2 linked regions of the Elephas maximus indicus genome follow. The protein of the gene in region 1 interacts with the protein of each later gene in a pairwise test. Links are inferred from orthologs where the notes say so. Each region holds a gene or a part of one and is shown on either strand. Other genes may lie near its edges.

Evidence for each region. The genes of interacting proteins can lie anywhere in the genome.
Region 2: the proteins of TRIM32 (region 1) and UBE2V1 interact in binary tests that used the Homo sapiens proteins (3 or more experiments, as listed by UniProt). The link is inferred for Elephas maximus indicus from reciprocal best matches to the Homo sapiens genes TRIM32 and UBE2V1.

The regions. Positions count from the first base shown.
Region 1 is NC_064827.1:66,202,004-66,212,474, reverse strand, and holds the start of TRIM32 (E3 ubiquitin-protein ligase TRIM32), read right to left. Parts: upstream 4,895-10,471; 5' UTR 4,839-4,894; intron 4,512-4,838; exon of another isoform or gene 1-4,511. UniProt on the Homo sapiens protein: E3 ubiquitin ligase that plays a role in various biological processes including neural stem cell differentiation, innate immunity, inflammatory resonse and autophagy.
Region 2 is NC_064843.1:19,546,452-19,557,445, reverse strand, and holds the start of UBE2V1 (ubiquitin-conjugating enzyme E2 variant 1), read right to left. Parts: upstream 4,399-10,994; 5' UTR 1,214-4,398; coding exon 1,090-1,213; intron 1-1,089. UniProt on the Homo sapiens protein: Has no ubiquitin ligase activity on its own. The UBE2V1-UBE2N heterodimer catalyzes the synthesis of non-canonical poly-ubiquitin chains that are linked through Lys-63.

The sequences.
Region 1 (10,471 bases):
GTGCATAACCATCTCCATGCCCTCCATGGTCATTCTCTGGGAGTGGCCAACAAGACTGATTTTAAGAAAGTCTGTGAGGTCACCACCTGACACTCACCCAGTCCTGTGTGTGGGAGAGGATCTGGATGCAGTTGACTCAGGGCATTTAGGGCACCTGCAGAGAGCTAAGAGAAACTCAATAAATGGGGGCTTGCAGAGGCACGACCCCAAAGTTGAGCCCATCTGGGATACATAAAACTCAGAAGGAAGTATGTTTTTGGGGAAGAAAATGTTAGCAATAGGGTTTGCTAGAAAAATGCTTGCCCGATACCTGTCTTTGTCTTCCTCTAAAACTGAAGGGCCTAGACAGTTTCCCTTGCATCTTCCACATACATCTGGGTAGCAATAATGCTGCCATTATAACTCAGATGATAAAGGTCAAGGGAAAAATCAGCAGTCTTCTCTTGGGGCACCTCCAACTCATCTCAACCAACTCAATTTTCCGTTGAGTCCTTTCTTTGCATTCACGTGTGTTCATTTAATCATGAGCCTTGGTGGCACAGTGGTTAAGCATTCAGTTCCTAACCAAAAGGTCGGTAGTTCACATCTACTAACTGCTCCTTAGAAACCCTGTGAGACAGTTCTACTCTGTCCTACAGGGTTGCTATGAGTCAGAATCAACTCAACGGCAATGGGTTTGGTTTTTTTGTTTTCTGTAAGCAGATCTTAGGTAAAGTATAAAAGGGGATGAGAATCTTGGGGTAACTGACAGAGGCTGCTTAGGGTCACTAAAATCCGGCATGGCAACATAGTTCCCTTCCAGCATTGCCTTCCTCTCATAAAACAAGTGCCATTCATGAGTGCCAGGCACCTTTCATAGATTATTTCTTATTCTCATAAAAGCTCTATCAAGTATTATACCTCTTTATAAATCAGGGAAACCCTAGTGGCATAGTGGTTAAGTGCTATGGCTGCTAACTGAAAGGTCAGCAGTTCGAATCCGCCAGGTGCTCCTTGGAAACTCTATCGGGCAGTTCTACTCTGTCCTATAGGGTCGCTATGAGTCGGAATCGACTCAAAGGCAGTGGGTGGGTTTTATAAATCAGAGGCTCAGAGAATCTGTCCAAGGTTTCAAACATGGTAAGCAGTAGAACTGGGGTTCAAATCCAGGAGTGTTGACTCCAAGCCATAAAACCATGCTGACTCAAAAGATATGTTATAGAATTCCCTGGCTGATTTGGCTGCCAATGCCTCTAGGAAGAGTCCAGCTAAGAGGCTGGTAAAGGCACCTAGGGATGATTTTTAAATCTAATTGTTCTACTAGAAGACATAATGGAGAGAGTGTCACAGGTGTGCATAGTCAATGATCCACTTCAAGGGTCCTGTAAACTTCTCGCTACCACCTAGAAGTTTAGACATATAGGCTCCAGATATGGATACATGGGCTCTTAGAGTTGGAAAAGCCTATCTAATAAAACTATTAAAACTCTGGAGTTAGACTTGGACTGTCATCCCAGCTTTGTCACTTGCTGTGTAGCTTTGGGTGAGTCATTTAACCTATTAGTTTTCTCATCTGTAAAATGGGGCATAACAACTAGATTGTTGGCAGGGTCATTGTCAGGATTAACTGAGATAACACATGTGGAGTACACACACTTAGCACATCCCACTGCCATCGAGTCAATTCTGGCTCATAGCCACCCTACAGGACAGAGTAGAACTGTCCTGTAGGGTTTCTAAGGCTATAAAGCTTTATGGAAGCAGGTTGCCACATCTTTCTCCTGCAGAGTGGCTAATAGGTTCAAACTGCTGACCTTTTAGTTAGCAGCCAAGTGCTTTAACCACTGTGCCACCAGGGATCTTTTACTTAGCACATAAGTGACAAATGGTAGCTATTTGTAACAGATTGAGGCAGATAGGACAAGTCCTTGTCCAAGGTCACACAGTAAATTAGCAGGAGAGTAAGGACACTGGACTTCAGGCCTCTGATTCCCAGGCCGATTCAATGCTCATTAAATATTTCCCTTGGGGAGGGTGAGGTATTCCAGCTGAGTCTCTTGCCCTCAGATCCAATCCAGCTGTTTCTGTGCTGGCTTCAGCAATGCTTTAAGTAGCTTAGTCTTTGAGCTGAGAGAGCCAGTGTGGCTATTCTGTCCCAGGGGAAAGAAGCCCAAAAGAGATCATTCAGAACAGTAATTACTCTCCTTTGGTTTGATGGCCTTCAGCTTCCTGCCTTCCCTGCTATGCGGTTGTATTTTTTTTTAAGCCAAGGGCCTCCATACCTCACCCTCTGGTCCCATGCACCTCATCCTGCTTGCTAACCTAAGCTCCTCCCCTTATCCACCCATTGGTCCTGGTCTAATAGCAAACCAAGAACAAAGTCCACGGTTACTCCCTACCTAATCATATAGAATACCCCTTCTAGGGTTCTGTTTGATATTCACTGATACCAACTGGACAATCCTCCTTTACTTTGAAGGGGAATGGGCTGAGATAATAAGACTAAACAGGCCCCCACAAAAAAAAGAAGCAAGGAAAAGAGAGAATATACAGCTACAGAGATCTGGATATGAGCCTAGCTCTGACTTCACTGCTAGCTATGAAACTTTGGGCAAGTAGCTTCCCTTTTCTAAGCTTTAGTTCCCTCATGTGTAAAACTGGATATAATAGAGACACTTAATAAGACTGTTGTGAAAACTGGAAAAGTGGATATAAAAACTAAAAATTGCCAAATTTATTGTATATTTGCTATATGCCACACACGGGGCACCCTGACTCACTTCACTGAATTCACACAATAATTCTATGATGTAGGTCCTGTTAAGAACCCCATTTTACAAATGAAGAGCCAAGGCAAAGAGATTAAATAACTCACTCAAGATTACTAAATCAGAAGAAACAGAGCCAGCATTAGAACCTCAGATATGACTCTACAGTAGGGTTTCTTAACTTTGGCACTATTGACATTTTCAGCTGGATAATCCTTTGTTCTGGGGGCTTTCCTGGGCATTGTAAGAAGTTTAGCAGCATCCCTGGCCTCTTCCCCCTGGGTGCCAGCGGTACCCCAAACCCCTATTCTGACAGCCAAAAAACATCTCCAGACATTGCCAACTGTCCCCTGCTGGACAAAATCACCCATAGTTAAGAACCACTGCTCTAGAGACTTGCAAAGGATTAAATGCTGAACCCTGAGCTCCCTTTTTCTTGCCCTTCTCCCAGCCAAAACAAACACCTCATTCACAAAGCCACTGACTCTTTGGTTTTTAAATGGGTCCTAATTATTATTATTATTTTTTATATACGGGGTCACTATGAGTTGAAATCGACTCGACAGCAACAATTTCTTTTTTAATAATATGATCTAATTCAATCCACTTTATTTAGCTGATGAGGAAAATAAGGCCTGAGATAATGTTTCACTCATTTCCCTGGACATCTCACACACTATCTGCTAGCACCTCCATGGTGCAGAGGTAGGGGTAGGGAAGACAGGACCTAGAAGGATGGCCTTGAACAGTTTTCTGCTTTATCCTCCCTTTCACCAATATCTTCTCCCCAAAGTCTACCACTTTCAGCTGGCCCAGGGTCAGAGTGGAGTTAGTGGTGTACCATGCCAGCCTCATGACAAGGGATATTTGCTGGAAAAGTGAAGGAGATTCTGCCCCTCTGAGGGGAAGTCATGCTTCTTCAGGAGTCCTGATCTCTGATGATCTATAACTTCATTCCTGAACCCCTGAACTCATACTCATATATACACTTCCATATTACTTCTAGGTTCTTGGGTCCCCAAACTCCTTTTGCTTCCCATGTAGAGATTTCAAGAAAATTCTTTTAGCAGCCCAAGTCGCCAACCCACAGACCTATTCAGAGTCCTTTAATTCTGCAACCTGTTCAATCCTCTCCAAATTGTGTTCCAAACCATCTCACAATACAAGAGTCTAACCTTTTGGGCTCTACATTGCAACCTTCGCCAATTCTTCACCCATGCATCCCAAATTCCTTTGATAAAGACCCCTTAATCCGTTTCCAAATCTCTGAAGCCTTCAGCCCTGTACCCCAACTCCTTCCAAACACCCTGATCCCACACCTCAGATTTCTGCTCTCTCTTGATCTTATCCTCCATTCTCTGTATTCTACCAGGCACTGTGCCATCCTCAAACCTTGCTCCTTCTCCTTTCACCCATCCCATGTCATGTGTTGCTTTCAAATCTTAGCCAGGTCTCTTCTTTTTTCTAACAAGATGTTGCTTCCCTCTGATTCCCCCAAGAACTCCCCACTTCAATTTTTCCCAGATCCTACTCAGGAAAACCCTCCCTCTTTAGCAATTAGGATCGCCTCAGACCCTGCTCCTTTTGATCTCAGATCTTGCCCTGCCCAAACAAATGCCTGGCGTCCCGAGATTTCCTCGAATCTCCTGAGATGTTGCACCCTAAATCTCATCAGGGACCCCGATTCCCTCTTATTTCCGAAATCCTGCACCCCCAAACCCTTCCAAGGCCCTTAGATTCCCCGAACCTACCAGATGCTGCACCCCGTCTCCTCCGGGCCCCCGTATTACCTCATACCTCCTGAGATGTTGCACAGCAAGTCTTCGCACCCCACCCCACCCTCGCCTCCGCCCCAAGCGCTGCATCTCCCCTGAGATCTTCAGCCACATCGAATCCCTCCGGAGCCTGCCCCTCACTGCCCCACCCCCACCCCCACCCCAGAGCTACTCCTCAGATCCGATCCCCAGACCCTGCTAGTCGGGCGCGGGCCCAGCCTCTACACGCCAGCACAGCCCCCCTCCCCGCCGCTCAGCCGTTGTCCGCGACTCGGGCCAGGGTCTCTTGTCCCCGACCCTCCTGCCCGCCCCCTACCTGACCTCCCGCAGCTCCGACGCGTCCACCGCCGCCAGCCCACCCGCCCCCGCCCTCTGCGCACGCGCCGCCGCGCGCTCCTTGACCGGCGCCGATTGGCAAAACCGCCTGTCCTTCACTGGGCTCCGCCCTCCCGAGGCATGCCGGGGCTTGTAGTCGGGCTAGCCCTAGCTCGGGGCTCTAGGGCCAGGTGAGAGCAAGAAGTGGGGCTGTAAACCATGCTTAATCCAGTTTTCTGTCTCCATTGTGTAAATTAAGAAACTGAGGCCCAAGGGCATATGGGTCCTGCCCATATCCACTCGACGAGTCAGGAGCCAAACCTGCAGGCGCGTGACTGACTCCAAATCCCAATATCTTAACCCTTTCATTAAAAGGCGATCACCAGGAGTAGTTCTCCTTTGAGCCTGGGCAACTCAGAGAAAAGCCTCTCTGAACCTCAGCGTCCCAGTCTGAGAAAAGGGTCAAGGCAAGAATAAAACTTTCATTCTGGGGCAGGCACAGAACCTGGATTTCTTAGAAGGGCAGTGCCTGGTTTCCCTATTTCTATGACACACTGCTTATTAGAGACAAGCTTATCTGTAAACAGTTTTCTATTGTGAAGGAGTTTTTCACCTACTCAGAAGGGAGGCTGATAGCAGAGGTAGATGCGGAGACACACACTACAGCTCCTGACCCTGCAGACTGAAGGGTAGACCCCTCACAGGTGGGAGGCAGTCTGACCTATTGCTTGACCAAGATCTGCAGCCAGTTAGATTGTTTGAGTCCAGCTACCTGCCCCTGCAGATGACCATACTATAAAGTTATGGATAATACTATATAGTTTTGAAGTAGGATGAGCTTGGGTTTAAAATCCCATTGAGCTATGTGATGCTGAACAATGATAAAACAACCAGCAAGGATTGTAGAACATCCTTTGAGCATTTAATGTCTGACTGCAGGTATGGTGAGCACTTCATAGACATAACTCACTTACTCTTTACCATGACCCAGTGAGAAAAGGCAGCTGATGCCTAGATGGTTGAATAAGAAGGCCACATGCTTATTAGTATCAGAGCCCAGATTTTACTCAGTTCTGAGAAACTTCGCTTTTTAACTTTTTTTGTTTTTAATCTCTAAATGGAGATGAGGTTTGCTATACGGATTAACTGAGATTATAGAAGTATAATGGTTTGTACTTAATTAACGGTAGCTGCTTTTTTAAAAATTAAGATCAGCTCTCACATCCTCCGAACTGCTGGTTTGAAAAGCCTCAGCTTCTGGAATATTGAGGCCAACAGGAGCCTGGCTTGGTGTACTTCATGGCATGTGCTGAACAGGCCTGGTGTTTCTGGACTCACGGGTTGCAATAGAGCTCTGAGGCTCAGGCCCCAGTGATGAACTTGCCATCTGGGGTTTTAGCAGATAGGCCAAGTATAGGTTGAGTTCAGGACTGGACTGAGGAGGGAGCCCAGTCTGGTACTACAGGGCCCAGGGTAGGTTTTGCTCAGAATTGGCAGCTGGTGGGTGCAGACAAAAACCTCAGAGGGCCAGGGGACCAGGGTGCTTGCTTCTCCCACCTTCCTGGGCTCCTGGGAGTTCTGAGGTGTTCATTGCATGTTCAGCAAGCTGCAGGAGTTTCAAGTTGATGACTTCTCATGCAGCATATACAAGGTTGGCCTTAAGTTATCTACTTACAGGTGATCTTCTCCAGACCTGTGAACTCCCTGAAGGGCAATGCCTGTTCGTAGTCGCACCAGCTAGCACAGAGCCCAGCACCTAAGAGTTACTAAGTGAGTCAGATTCTGAAATGTGACCTTAGGCAAATCACATGTCCTGTGTGACCTGGGGCGGGGGGGGGGGGGTCAGTCAGGTAAGAGCTGCTGTTTTTCGAGCACAGGCAATATGCCAGGCATTTCACATATATTGTCACAAGTCGCAATTAGTTTTCTCAACAACTTTTCCAGTAGCTATCAGTAGCACCAGCTTACAGAAGAGGCAACCAAGGCTCTGAAAGATTCACTAGTTTTCTTGTAGTCATTACCTAGGAAGTGGTAGAGCCGGGCTATAAACCCAGGCTCATCAGGCTCATGATATGCCCCATACAGTCACTGAAAGACTATGCCCACATATTATGACACCAGCTATCTTCCTATTTTATTAAGTAAGATTTGGTGTAAGAGCGAAAGAATTCATAGTACTTGGAAAAACAGAATAAAGGGCAAATCTTTGCTGTCATTTTGACCACAGACTGTGAGCCTGCCAAGGCAAGGGCTCTGGGATGAGCTGTTCTGAGCAGAAGCGTCGGAAAAGAGCAGGGATTATGAGTTGGAATCTACTCGATGGCAGTGGGCTGGGCTTCTAGGTTTCTGCCATGTTGGAGACTCAGTGTGGCCTGCTCCATAGAATGGGCAGGGAGCCCCTCTGAATGGGGCCTGCAGTATTTCTCCCAACCCCTGTATTGCAGGTGGGGGATATGGGAGGGTTGCTGTCAAATCATTTTTTCCTGCCCTGAGACCTGAGTTATATCCCCTTCTCAAGTAGGTGGTGGTGGAAGGGAGATTTAGCAGCCTGGTTGCTGAAAACCACAGTTATCAGCCCAGAGTTTCAGTTAAAAACTGTTCATATATATATACTGATGTTTCCCCAATCACAGAAGAGAGCTCACAGTACTCCTAACAGTCTGGGGATGTAGCTCAGGCATGCCATTTAAAACAAAAACAAAACACCTCTCTTTTCCCTTAAAAAACAAACAAAAAAACAGTGTTTGCTTGATGGTGTTTTTTTTTAATGTTTAAATTACTTACAAGTTCAATTAATTACCACATGATCTCACAGTAAAATAAACACTCCGGGGATATCACTCATTTTTTGTCCTGTGGGTTTGCACAACCTGGCACAATATTAGCATTCCTTAGACATGGATACATTTAAAAAATATTCTTTGTGGAGCACTTTAAATATTCTTTATTCAGCACTTTAACGTAACATACTCTGACTCAACATTTAAACCATTCTATGAGTTAAGTATTGTTTTCTTCACTTACAAAGGAGGTTCTTAGCTTAATGCCTTTTTTATTCTCTTCAAAACGGGGATAACAATAACTAACTCAGATGATTATCAGGAGCGAAATGAGATATTGGATGTAAAAAGCTTAGCTCTTTGCTTAACATGTAGAAGTGTTCGTTATATTGCATTTATTATTATGATAAATACATTTACTTATTAAATACATCATTCTGTAGTGAGAAGAGCAAGGGGTTTGGAGTCAGACAGATCTAGGTTAGAATTTCAGCTACACTCACCTGCGAAGTTTGTTAGGGAATAGAGGAGAAGGTGATTTGAAGTAATGCTTGGTAACTTTTTGTAACTAACAAACGTGTAACCTTGGACAAGTTATTCAGTCTCTATTTACTTAACTTTTCTCCTCTGCAAAAGAGGTATAATAGTAGTTGTAGTAGTATAAAATAATAGTAGTAGTATAAAAGTGGTTCCGTGGTAGAATTCTCACCTTCCATGCGGGAGACCTAGGTTCAATTCCTGGCCAATGCACCTCGTGCAGAGCCATCACCAGTTAGCCAGTGGAGGCTTGGGTGTTGCTATGATGCTGAACAGATTTTGTCAGAGCTTCCAGACTAAGATGGACTAGGAAGAAGGGCCTGGGGAGATCTACTTCCAAAAATCAGCCATTGAGAATTGAATGGATCACAACAGTCCGATCCACAACTGAACATAGGGATTGCACAGGACTGAGCGGTGTTTAATTTTATTATGCACAAGGTCACCACGAGTTGGGGGCCAACTTAATGGCTGACAGCCAACAACAACAACCAGGTAGGAATGTTGGGAATGTTAGATGGTTTAATAGATCCAAAGGACTTAGAACGCTGCCTGATAAAGAATAAGTGCTGAGTGTTAGTTACAGTTATCATTTTTTACTGTCATTATCATTATCACTATGACTTTTCTCAACAAAATATTCTCCCCCCCCCCTTTTTTTTTTTTTTACCATTTAGCAACTGAAGTTTGAAGGGGAAGAGACATTTCTTGATTATATAACGTAGGGAAGAAAATATAAGGAGTTAAAACACTAGTACATCCTAACAGAGTTTGTCTGAGTCTAGAGGTTTATAATTACTAGCACTCCCATGAAGTAATATAAAATTATATCTGTCTCTCTGTATTACTTATCTATTACTCCATAACAAATTACAAGTTTGTAGCTTAAAACAACACACATTTATTATATTACAGTTTCTGTAAGTCAGGACTTCAAGTGCAGCTTAGCTGGGTCCTCGGCATCATGGCCTCTCATAAGGCTGCAATCAAGTTGTTGGCCAGGGCTGGAGTCTCATCTGAAAGCTCAACTGGGGAAGGATCCACGTCCAAGCTCACTTACGTGGTTGTTGGCTGAATTCAGGGTTGTTGAACTGAGAGCCTCGCTTCCTTGCTGCCTGTTGGCTAGAGGCTACCCTCAGTTTCTTGCCCCATGGGCCTCTATGTGACAGCTTGCTTCATCAAAGACAGCACAAGAGAACCTCTTAGCAAGACAGAAGTCATGATTTTTTATAATCTAACCACAGAAGTGACATGTCCTCAATCTCTATTCTATTGGCTAGAAGCAAGTTGCTCAAGGGGAGAGGATTATACAGGCTAGTAAATACCAGAAAGAGGGAATCACTGGGGACCATCTTAGTGGCTGGCTGCCTACTTACCTGTCTGCCTAGCTCCCCTGTTCTCTTTTTCCTTTCCTTCCTCCCTTACTTTTTCCTCCCTCCCTCCCTATCTTTTTCCTTTTGTCCCTTCCTCTCTTTCTTCCTCCATCTCTCCCACCTTACTTTCTTCATTTCTTCCTTTTTTCCATCCTTCTTTCCTTTCCTCTTTTGTCTTTCCTCCATCTTTCCCTCCCTTCTTCTCTCCCTCTGTACCTTTTCCCCTCTTTCAGTGCTTCTCTGCCTTTCTTATTATCTATCTAACTGTCTAATTGGTTCTACTTTCTGTTGAAACTCTGACCTTGATCTCCATATGCCTTACACAATTCATGTATGTTTCCCTGTCTAGCCTATGCATGGTACATGATAGGTGCTAAATAGATATTTGAATTCAATTTAACTTTACAGAATCAAAGTATACTTAAAAAGAGCCATCTTTATCCACCTGCTAGCAGATATATAAATGCTGAACAGGTTTCAACAGAGCTTCCAGACTAAGACTGACCAGGAAGAAAGGCCTGGTAATCTACTTCTGAAAATCAGTTAATGAAGGCCCTGTGGATCACAATGGTCTAATTCACCTTAACATAACCACTTCTATTTTACAAAGTCCTCCTTTAATCTCTTCATCCATACTTACAATCATACTAGGTATTTAACAAATGTTTTTCTAATGCATATAAAGTTCGATATTTTATTTACATAATACAGGAGAATGTTTCAAATCATATTTCTCTGGTCTTCATAGTATTAAACTGGCTACATCCAAATGAATCAAGTTGACAAGCCCATCTTTGAACATGTAACCATCACAAATAAAACTGCATAAATGTCCTTGGGCGGGATTTTTTTTGGGGGGGCGGGGTGGGGGTATATTTTCTTGAGTTGATATTAAAACAGCTGACTCAGAAATGGAAGCTTTATTTTATTTTACCATCTTATAC
Region 2 (10,994 bases), on another chromosome or scaffold:
TCGCTGCCCTGAATTTGGACTTTTAGCCTCCTAAATTGTGAGGAAATAAATTTGTTTGTTAGAGCCACTCACTTGTGGTATTTCTGCTATAGCAGCACTGGAGAACTAAGACAAGGGCCTCCTCTGACATGACATGTGGGGGCCCAAGTCCAATGAGTGTGAGTTGTTCAGTATAAGGTATAAGCAAGGTTTTCATTAAAAAATGGCCCTCACTCTCGTTGGCCCGTGTGTTATCCAGAAAGGTCCAGAGTGGTCAGGGAACATAAAAAGGGTTCCTGCAATGGGTGGCAGGTGTGTCTCTTTAGTCCTTTTCCTCACCCAGGGTGAATGCTCCAAGACCTAAGACAAGCATATGCTGCAACTCACATCTTCTCCCTTTCCTTCCTAATGTACTGTAGCAGGCTGGGGAGGGAACTGGAGTCAAAACCTCTGAGCATCACCACTCCCTCAGCCAGCCACCAATCTCTCTCAGCTTTTGGCTCTCCCCTCAGTCACACTGTGGTGACAATACTTTGCCTGGTTAGCTCAATAGGTCCTGGAGAGTTAGATGAGATGATATGCAGGTAAGTTAAAGTACTTGAAAAACTCTAAAGCACTATACAGAAAATAGTATTAAAATATTTACTTCACTGCGGACTTTCAGAATTAAACAGGATTTCTGACTTTACATTTTGTATTCCACTTTTACCAAAATTGTAGAACTAAAATTCAGGTGGAAGAAAGGGAGGGAGAAGGTGAAGGTGATAGAACGGAAGGGGAAGGAGAAAGAGGGTAGGGAACAAGGGAGGGGAGAGGGGAGAGGAAAACAGAGGGGGAGGAAGAAAAGGAGAGAGAGGAGTCGGGAGAGAGGAAAAGATGAGGGGAGGGGAGGAGAGGGGAAAGGAAAAAAAACCACAGTGGTGGGAAGAGAGTGGTTTGAAAGTGATAGAGAAGGGGAAAATTGACCTTGGCAACTCTTTAGAGGAGCACTAGGTTATACTAGCCCAAAGAGTCAATCCCCCTCCATCATAAGTTGTTGTTAGTTGTGCCGGAGTGGCAACCCCATGTGTGCAGTGTAGAACCGCCCCGTAGGGCTTTCAATGCAGTGACCTTTTGGAAGCAGATGGTCAGGCCTGTCTTCTGGAGTGCCTCTGGATGCATTTGAACCTCCAACTCTTTCAGCTAGTAGTTGAGTGCTTAGCCATTTGCACCACCCAGAAACTCCTTCCGTCATTAGAGCAGACTGCTATTTCTCTGGCTGAAGCACTTCTCTTGAATGTAGGGCCCACGATGTTTAAAAGAAAAAAAAAGGGCACTTAACTACGATCGCACAGAAGATGCTCACATTGTGAAACAACACATGGGCACTGAGACCAGCTAAAGGACTGCAGGTTCTCACCTCCCATCTCCAGCTGTCACTGGGGAACACCCTAGAATGGAATGGAAGACTACTTAACCTCTATTGCTCATGGGGTTAAATTCCCATAAGTTGAATGTATATATGAGGCCACTCTGATGTACACAAATTTAAAATCATGCCCAACCAGGGTTTACCCTTCTGGCACTTGGTTTCTGATTAACTGTCAGGGAAGTCCAAGGGATGCTGGGTGAGAGGAAGGTCCTGGCATCCAAGGGGCACTTTTTGGGGTTCTACAATCCTGGACAAGGCAGAAGGAAGTCACCTGTGACAGCACGGGCATCCTGAGGGCTTCTGGTGGGCTTTTCACAGTACCACCCTCTAGGATCTATGCAGAAATCACACACTGTAGAACCACAGGAGGTGGGGGAAGGTGTTGCCGCCAAGTGCTGGAAGCGGTGACCACAGAAAACTAAGTTCAACCCTTACAGGAACTCAAAGGCTTCACAGCTGTTTCCTGGCAAGCAGGAACACAGATTAACCAAGAGGCTTACTCTAAACTCAACTAAGGAAGGTCTCAGGGCCTGACCACACCTGAAATACGGAGGGTTAGAAAGTGGAGCAGTGTCTGTACTCATTTTACTCAGGTCTCTCTGCTTCCACTCTCAAGACTCTGTACTCATTTAACTGCCTAGGGGCACAGTTCAGATCCTGTCACTCCTCTGCTCTTTAAAACTCTCATTCATTCATTCGACAAATATTTACTGAATATCTACTTCGTACTGGGTGCTGTTCAATGGCTTTCCCTCACTCTCTCCAATGCATCTCCTTTTCAAGCCTTCCTTGCATGTTACAGCTTTTTGGTCTGTTTTTTCAACATGTCAAGCTCCTTCTTACCACAGGGCCTTTGCACTCACTGTTCCCCCTCCCCCGCCTGTGACACTCTGTAGGTTGGCTCTTTCAATCACTGTCTCAGTTCAAATGCCGACATGTTCTCAAAGAAGCCTTCCCTGACCACCTCTCTAGACACCCTCTATCACACAACACAACTTCTTTCATAGCACTTACTGCTATCTGAAACATCTTATTTTCTCTTCTAAGGCCTTCTTGCCCCACTAGAACGGAACCTCCTCAAGGACAGGGACTATGCCCCTGTTGTTCACTACTCACAATGGGACCTAACAGGCCCTCAGTAAATATTTGTTGAATAAACAGACAAAGGAGTTATGGGAAGCCCATTTTAGGGCATCTCCAAGCCTGTTCTATGTTACCTAAGCCACACCAAGTACTCTTATATTCCACTAGACAGCTGCTGACACTGTTTCATCTGACTGCCACAGCATTCATGAAGCACTCTTCAACTGGCAGGGCCTCAAGAAGTTAGAATTAAGTAGCTGTTAAACCGGATAATAGGAAGCCAAACTCCAGAGTGACTGCAAACAGGGCTGGGTTGTGATACCACCATAACTAGCTGGCTGCCACAGGCACCACTGTACCCCCAGTTCATAGCAACCTGGCAGGGGCATTATTCTGATGAGAAGTTATCCACAGCTGTCTAGCCTGACCCAGCCTCCCTCTCCTGGGAGTGTCTGTTGCTAGCGTCTTGATCAATGAATTGACTCAGCACTGTTCAAACTGAAACCAAAAGCTAGGAAAGGATGTGCGGTATCCTCTATCCTCCAGGGAGACCCGAAGACCCCCCAATGCTTTAAGTGTCAAGGGCAGCTTGTGATGGGTCACTTCAGTTAGATTCCCTCCATCCAATTCCTTCTACTCTCCACCCTAACTATCAGAGAAGGATGGCTTCCTGGAATACTAGAGGAGCTTGAGAGAACAGCAACATCATGGAAAGATGGACTCCCCCACACTGTTCCACTTAGGTGACCAACCCTTTCCCAATACTACTGCTGCTAGTGCCTTGAACAGCCTGAAGATTTCAGTAACCATGCTGCAGGCCTTTAACTCCCTTCTCTCCTGTGGCCCTCTTTGCCACCTCTATCAGGGGCCTTCCAATCTCACCCCATGTGGGAGAATCTCCTTGGACAACTCCTCTACCAGGCATCTCAGGGTACAGCCTCATCACCCTAAGGGGGTCACTGAGTCTCCCCCAAAGCCTGCACTTTCACAGTCTGACTCTCTTGCCTCTGGAGAATCTTCCCTAGTCACTCCTTACCCCATGTTAACCCTGAAACAGACCCTTTGGGGCCTGATCCTCTGGTTTATCTTAGAGTAGTACAGCAGGAAACCCAGTCTCAAAATAAGTGCTACTTCCTTTGACCTCTCTAGGGACTGAAACACTTTTGTTCCACCCATAAAGTGTAGCCCTTATTTCTCTCCTGTCCTTCCAGAAGAAGTGGGGGTTTGCTTAGCTTCCCTTCCCCAAAAAGCCACCACAGAGCTCCCATTTCATTTATTCCTCTCCCCACTTCCACCTCCAGCCAATGGGGGAACTTCCAAGCTGAACCCATATCTGTCCCCAGTATCCAAAGATGTGGAAAAGAGTGACGCACAGTCTCCACAAAAGACACTTCTAGGGTATACTTCCCTCACCCAAACAGGGAAAGGTTTTTCTTCTCTAAAGGAAACATCTCTGGAACCTAACCTTTTCCCATTCTCACCCGTTGCAGAGAGGCTCCCCTCAGGTGACAATCCCCCAAGCAGGTACCCCAGAGCTCCCAACTCACTTGTTCTCCCCGACCCGATGTTGGAGGCTTCTAACTCCAACTCAGAGCTTACCTCCTAAATTCTAACTTGGAGGAACCCATTTGTCTCCTCAAATAGGTGTCTAGTAACGATGGGGCCATTTCGTATCAGTCGCCTGGACCAGATTCCTCTGGAATCTGACTCCGTTTCCCCCTCTCGTTCATCCTGTGGCGATGCCCTTAATCCTCCCCAAAAGCGGCCAACCCAAGGCTCCCTCTTCTACTCAACATGGAGATTTCCTCTGCTAATCCTATCCCCAAAGCTGACGCTGGAGCCGTCCCCCTAACCAGTAGGGTATCCCCTCAGTCAGTCCCTCAGGATTCTGTTCCCTCTTCCCACCCATCCTGAGGGGCTTCTTTGACGTCCTCCCCAAACAGACATACCAAGGCTTCCCCCTCACCAGGACCTCCCGCACCCAGTAGTGGACTTCCGTCCGCCCTGGGGCGCCTCCTCGTCCCCTAGGGAACACCTCGATCTCCCCAAAAAGGCCGCCAGTCTCGGCTTCCTCAGCAGTGCCCTCCGGGCTCGCCCGTCATCCCCACTCCGGCTCTGAGCAGCGCCGCAGTGCACCGGCAGTCCTCCGAGCGGGCCCCTCACGCCACCCGGGGGAGCTTCTGGGTCTGGCCGCGCCGCCCACAGGCCCCTCAGGCCCCCGCCCGTGCTTCCGGCCACCGCCTGCTCCTCCTCCCCATCAGGCCTCCCCGTTCGCCGTCGCGAAGCCCGGCGGACCGAGGCAGCGCAGAGAACCTGGCCCGGCCGCGAGGACCTTTGCGGGTCCTCGGTCCCGGCCCGAACCCGCGCGCCCTCGGCCGGCCGGGCCCGGCACCCCAGCTCACCCGAGCCCGTGGTGGCTGCCATCTTGCGTCGCTGTCGCTCGAAGGCCGGCCCCTTCTTCACCCCCCAAACCCGTCCCCTGGCCCTTATGCGCAGGCGTGCGCGCACGCGCAGACGCCGCCACTGACGCCTGCTCGTAGGACCCGTGCGGCCCTAAGCCGGGAAGATTTTTTTTCCCTTTGCTTTTGCTTTTAGAGAGGAGTTATTTGCTTGGGCGACGATTCGGGAACCTTCAAATCCCTCCGGGCTATGGTGCGAAGGAGGTATTGAGGTGCTTGGTGAGAAGGCCAAGGGGGATCAGACTTAAGACAAAAAGTTAATTCCTATTTGTTTTCGAACATTTTCCTAACTCTTTGGATCCTTACATCTATATCGGGTGGGGGTGGATGTAAAAAATGAAGCTGAGAGAGGTTAAACGATTTATCTATTCAGCTGTTAAGTGGTTGAGTCAGAATTTGAACCTAGGTGAGATTTGCTTCCAGGGTCGGTGTTTCCCCGGCAGAGGAGGCTTGTAGAGAAGCAGCTAAATGCTTTTCTGGGGGCATTGAGCTGGCAGATAAAGCATTCAATTACCTATCCATTCAAACGCTATTAATAAGCACCTACTATGTGGCCGCCTTGCTAGACTTTGGGGATGGACATACATCCCTGAAGAAGCAGGTCACTGCTCTCAAGAGGATTACGCTCTAGTTAGAGGAGACAGCAAGTAAATAAACAGAACATTTCTGCTCTTCATAATTATGATAAACCAGGGAAGGGGAGCAGGGAGTGGTCAGGGAGGGCCTCCTGAAGAAGTCACATTTCAAGTGAGATTTGAATGATAAGGAGATAGAGGAGACAGCAAAGGCCCTGGGGACGTATATTTGCAAATAAATACTGAATCCCAGAGGCTCCTCCTTTTTCAGAAGCCCTTATATGGATGTGCAAACAGGCTGAGAGGTGAAGGGACTGGCTCAAGGTCACAGCTAAACACTGGTGGAGCAAGGACCAGGACTCTACCGAGGAGCAAGGAAGCTGGAAGAACCTCGCCCAGCACAGCCACCTTGTCCTGACAGCAATGTTTCCTGAGCCTCTCTCTACTCCATCCATTTCTCCCATTCAGAGCAGGCTGCCCTTGTCTCCCACTTGGAGACAAGGCCTTCATGGTCCATTCTCCATATGGCAGAAGAGTTCTGCTAAAGCTTTCAGTGGCTCCCCATTCCCTCTGGATAAAAGACACTACAAGTTGAGTGACCATAAAATTAGTTTTCAACCAAGACACTCATCAGAATGAAATGGGGCCTATTATAATCTCATTGGCACAAGCAGGAACCCCGACTCTCCCAGAAAAATGAGGATGGACGTCCACCCTACCCTCAAGGGCCAGGGGACGAGGGTGTAGCCAGCAAAGACCGTGCTGTTGTTAGGTGATATCAAGTCGGTTCCGACACATAGCGACCCTATGTACAACAGAATGAAACACTGGCTGGTCCTGTGCCATCCTCACTATCGTTATGCTTGAGCCCATTGTCGCAGCCACTATGTCAATCCATCTACCTGAGGGTCTTCTTTTTTGCTGACTCTTTACCAAGCATGATGTCATTCTCCAGGGATTGATCCATCCTGATAACATGTCCAAAGCACACGAGACTTAGTCTCCCCATCCTTGCTACTAAGGAGCATTCTGGCTGTATTTCCTCGAAGACAGATTTGTTCGTTTTTTTGGAAGTCCGTGGTATGTTAAATATTCTTTGCCAACACCAAAATTCAAAGGAGTGAGTTCTGTCTTCCTTATTCATTGTCCAGCTTTCATATGCATATGAGGTGATTGTGAAGATGCTAGGGTGCCATATTTAAGAAGGCCGTCCCTCTCAGGTCTTGACCCTGCATTTGCATGACCCCGAGAGTGAGTGCCTCAAAGTTTGCACCCTAGGCTCCTCGCCTTACCCTAGCTCCGGCCCTGCCTACACCTGAGTCTTGCTGGACTTCTCCAGCTACATTAGCCCTTTCGGAGGTCTCTGGAACACAACATGTCTTCTCCTTCCTCAGGGCTCTTTGCCTGTGCTATTTCCGCTCTTGAGTTCTCAGATCCAGCATCCCTCCCTCAGAAAAGCCTTCCTGATTTCTCCAACCAGGTCAAATTCAGCTATAATTGGCTCAGAGCACCACATGAGTCTCCTCCCCAGCACTAGCCACACGCAATGCAACTTAATGGTCATCCATGTATCACGTAACTCAAGCCTCCCTTGCCCTAGACTTTGAGTGACGCCAGAGTTTCAGCAGGGAACAGAAACATTGGGCTTCTAAGGTGGACTCATCTCTGGAGTGAAATTGCCAGAGTTCGAGTCCTTCGCCCCTCCCTTTCCTGTGTGACATTAGGCAAGAGACTTGAACCTCTCCTGGACTCAGTTTTACCATCCGAAATGGAGGATAATAGTATCAACCTCATTGGGTTGATGTTGAAATAAAACGCTTTCACGTAGGGAGGGGGAGGGGGGCCACTAGAAGAGTTGGCATTTACCAAGCCATTATACTATGCCGCTTTTGTTGCTCACAAGAACTCGATGTGGCAACTCCTAGGAACATTCCCATTTTAGAGATGAGAAAACTGAGACTCAGCACTAACAGGTGAAGTGAGAATTAAAACACAAGCCACTTATCCACGATAATCATAAAGGTCTACTCGCGGAGAATCCTTGGTTCTTGTAGATTTCCCGCAAGCAAAATTAAGAGAGAATTCCTGTGCAGGGAATCCTACTAGCTTGTTCCCAAAGGCTGAGGCCTTCGCAAGAAGAGGTTAAGCGGGACGCCCCGAAGCATGCTGGTTATTGTAGTCCATCGGCGGCGCGAAGCCTATTGGGAGTTGTAGTCCTCCATGTGCTCACGCTCACTCGGCAAGGCTCCGCCCCCCACCCCAAGCATCTTCAGCAGTTCTCAGAATGGGATTGCTTCTCGGCGCGTGTGGCCCATCACATCTCTGCATTTAGCCTGGTAAAAGTAATGAGGATAACGGAGTTTTGCATTTAGCCTGGTAGATTTAGTAATGAGGATAACGGAGTTTTGTTTTATCGGATTGTAGGGAGGATTAAAATGGTTAATAGAACTAAAGAATTTTGAAGAGGGCTTATTTAATCCTCCATGACCCAAAGTACCTGTTATCATTTCCATTTGTCAGATAAGGAAACTGAGGCTCGGAGGAGTTGGAAGACTTCCCCAGGGTCACACAACAAGGAAGGAGTAAAATCAGGAATGGAACTCAGTTCTCTTAACCCTGGGGCACCACCTGTGGGACCTGGGAGGTTGCAGGCAGGACATGAGCTGGTTTGCGTTTTTTAGAGAGTACAGCCTGGCTGCCTCAGGAGACTGGATCAGGAGGCTGAATTGGGCGGCAGGCAGCAAGTGGAGGCGGCGAGTCCAGAGTGGAGGTGTGGAGGTCGTTGACTGCCAGTCTTAACCGCCACATGCCTGCCCTCCCTCCCTGGTTTTGTTCAGGAGGCAGGTCCCGCTCCAGGCACGAGTCACGATTGGTCCAAGCCAATTCCCGCAGTGCCACTCCTTTCGCCAGTGATTGGTCCAGTGGTATGCTTGTGACCCAGTTCTGGCCAATGGATTGGGGAGAGAGCAGAGGTTGGAAAATTTCCCTCCCGAAGATACAAAAACAAAACAAAAAAACAACAAAAACCGTTGCCATAGAGACCATTCCGACCCTTGACCCTTAGTAGCCATATATGGGAGGGTAGAACTGACCCATAGGGTTTCCAAGGAGCCGCTGGCAGGTTCAACTTTTGGTTAGCAGCTTGAACTCTTAACCGCTGTACCACCAGGACTGAGAGAAATTCCTTCTTGTCCCCTTCCATCCTTCCTACCATATAAAGTTGTGATGCTTGGAGCTGTGGCAGCCAAACTGAGACCATGAGGTACAAGCCTGAGGCCAAAAAGATACACACTGAAGACTGTAGCCCAGAAAGATGGCAAGAGCCAGGTCATGGATGATGTGGTTAAACTACTGAATTAATTTTGGGACTGGCTTCCTAGACAGGTAATGTCTTTATTGCTTAAGCTGCTCTTAAAGGTAGGTGTTACCTTCAGCCAAAAGCATACCTAACAGATACAGGAAGCTGGCACATTGAGGCAGTGCAGAGAGACATACAGGCCTGGACTGTTCCAAGGTATTCATTCAAAAAGTCTGTTCTCAACGAGGTGGGAAAATACCTGGCTGTTCTGGAATCTCTAGGGTCGCTATGAGTTGGAATCAACCCGACGGCACTGGGTTTTTTTAGGATGTGAAAGGCGTGAGTACTTTGAAAAAGTATGTTCAAAACAGAAATATATTCGCTATATTTGTATTATAAAAAAACCCAGTGCCGTTGGGGCGATTATTTGTATTATAGTCTACATAATCTTCAATATAGTTTATAAAACTTGTATCTTATTTTTTACAGCAATGGTTTCCAAACTCTGTGCACAGCAATCACTAAAATGCAATTTTTTTTATGCAGATTTTGATTATGTGTGTGTGTAGAGGAAGGTCGCTGAGACTCTGCATTTCTAACAAGTCCCCAGAGGATGCCAATGTTAATCCAAAGATTGCAAGGTTATGGATAACATCATATAATTTTATGTTTATATTTTGTATTTATAGTTAAGGGAGGAAAAAAAAACCCAATGGAATGCTCTGGCTTTTTAAATGCAAACTAAAGAAAGTAAAGCTGACAAACTGTTGACAGGAGAGGTCACGGGCACCTAGAAGACCAAGAGTAAAATCCCTGGGAGGGGGTCTGTGGTTGTTAGGGTGTGTGACACATTTGCTGGTAATACCTTATGGCACACTCATGGAGCCATGTATGCCTGGGGTGTGTCTGATCCACAGCATTAAACATAAGTGTGATTTTCTCTGAGAAATGAGTAGATATTTTATTTGAAGTTAGATCTTGTCATTGTGAAAATATACTACTGAAGAAAGTTGGGAGTGTGTGGGTAGGGGGTCGTGGTACAATTCATTTACTCACTCCCCTCTTGAGGGACATCTGAGTCCTTTCCGTTGTCTTCTTCCTATACAATTTATTTCTGTAATATCTGAGTTTTGTTCCATCTGTTACTTTTTTAACAGATGGCCAGAAAAAAAGGAATAAGAACCAGGGATGGGGGGGGGGGGGACGAGAAAAAGAATAAGTTTCCTTAATTTATAAAGAGCTCTTGCAACTTAAAAAAAGAACAGCCCAAAAGAAAGTGACAAACATTTATTGAGCATTTTCTATAGTCTAGGCACATAGTGTTTTGCACATATTAATTTATTTGATCCTCGAAACAATCCTATGAGGTAAGTATCATTATTTCCATTTTACAGACGAGGAAACTGAGGCACATAGAGGTTAAGTAACTTGCCCAAAGTCATGCAGCTTGTAAGTGGTAGAGCTGGGATCTGAACCCCAAGCTCTTAACCTGCTTCCAAAGAATAAGCAAAGGACATGAACAGAATTAAGAAATTCAAATGCCTTTTAAACTCACAATAAGCTACCCAGTCTCATTCAATGTGTTGTATTTCAGTGATTCCAAGATGCAAATTTTTATAAACATCTCTGAAATCAGGATGCATCTTACAACCGATGACATCTTGTTGTTATTGTTGCTGTTGTTAGGTGTCATCGAGTCTGTTCTGACATACAGTGACTCTGTGCACAACAGAGCAAAACACTGCCCGGTTCTGCGCCATCCTCTCGATTGTTATTCTTAAGCCCATTGTTGCAGCCAGTGTATCAATCTATCTTGTTGAGGGTCTTCCTCTTTTTCACTGACCTTCTACTTTACCAAGCATGATGTCCTTCTCCAGGGCCTGTCCCTCCTGATAACATGTCCAAAGTATGTGAGACAAAGTCTTGTCATCCTCGCTTCTAAGGAGTATTCGGGCTGTACTTCTTCCAGGACAGATTTGTTCGTTCTTCTGGCAGTCCATGTAATATTCAATATTCTTTGCCAACACCATAATTCAGATGCATCAATTCTTCGATCTCCCATATTCAACATCCAGCTTTCGCATGTACATGAGGCAACTGAAAATACCATGACTTGGATCAGATGCGCCTTAGTCCTCAAGGTAACATCTTTGCTTTTTAACGTTTTAAAAAGCTCTTTTGCGGCAGAT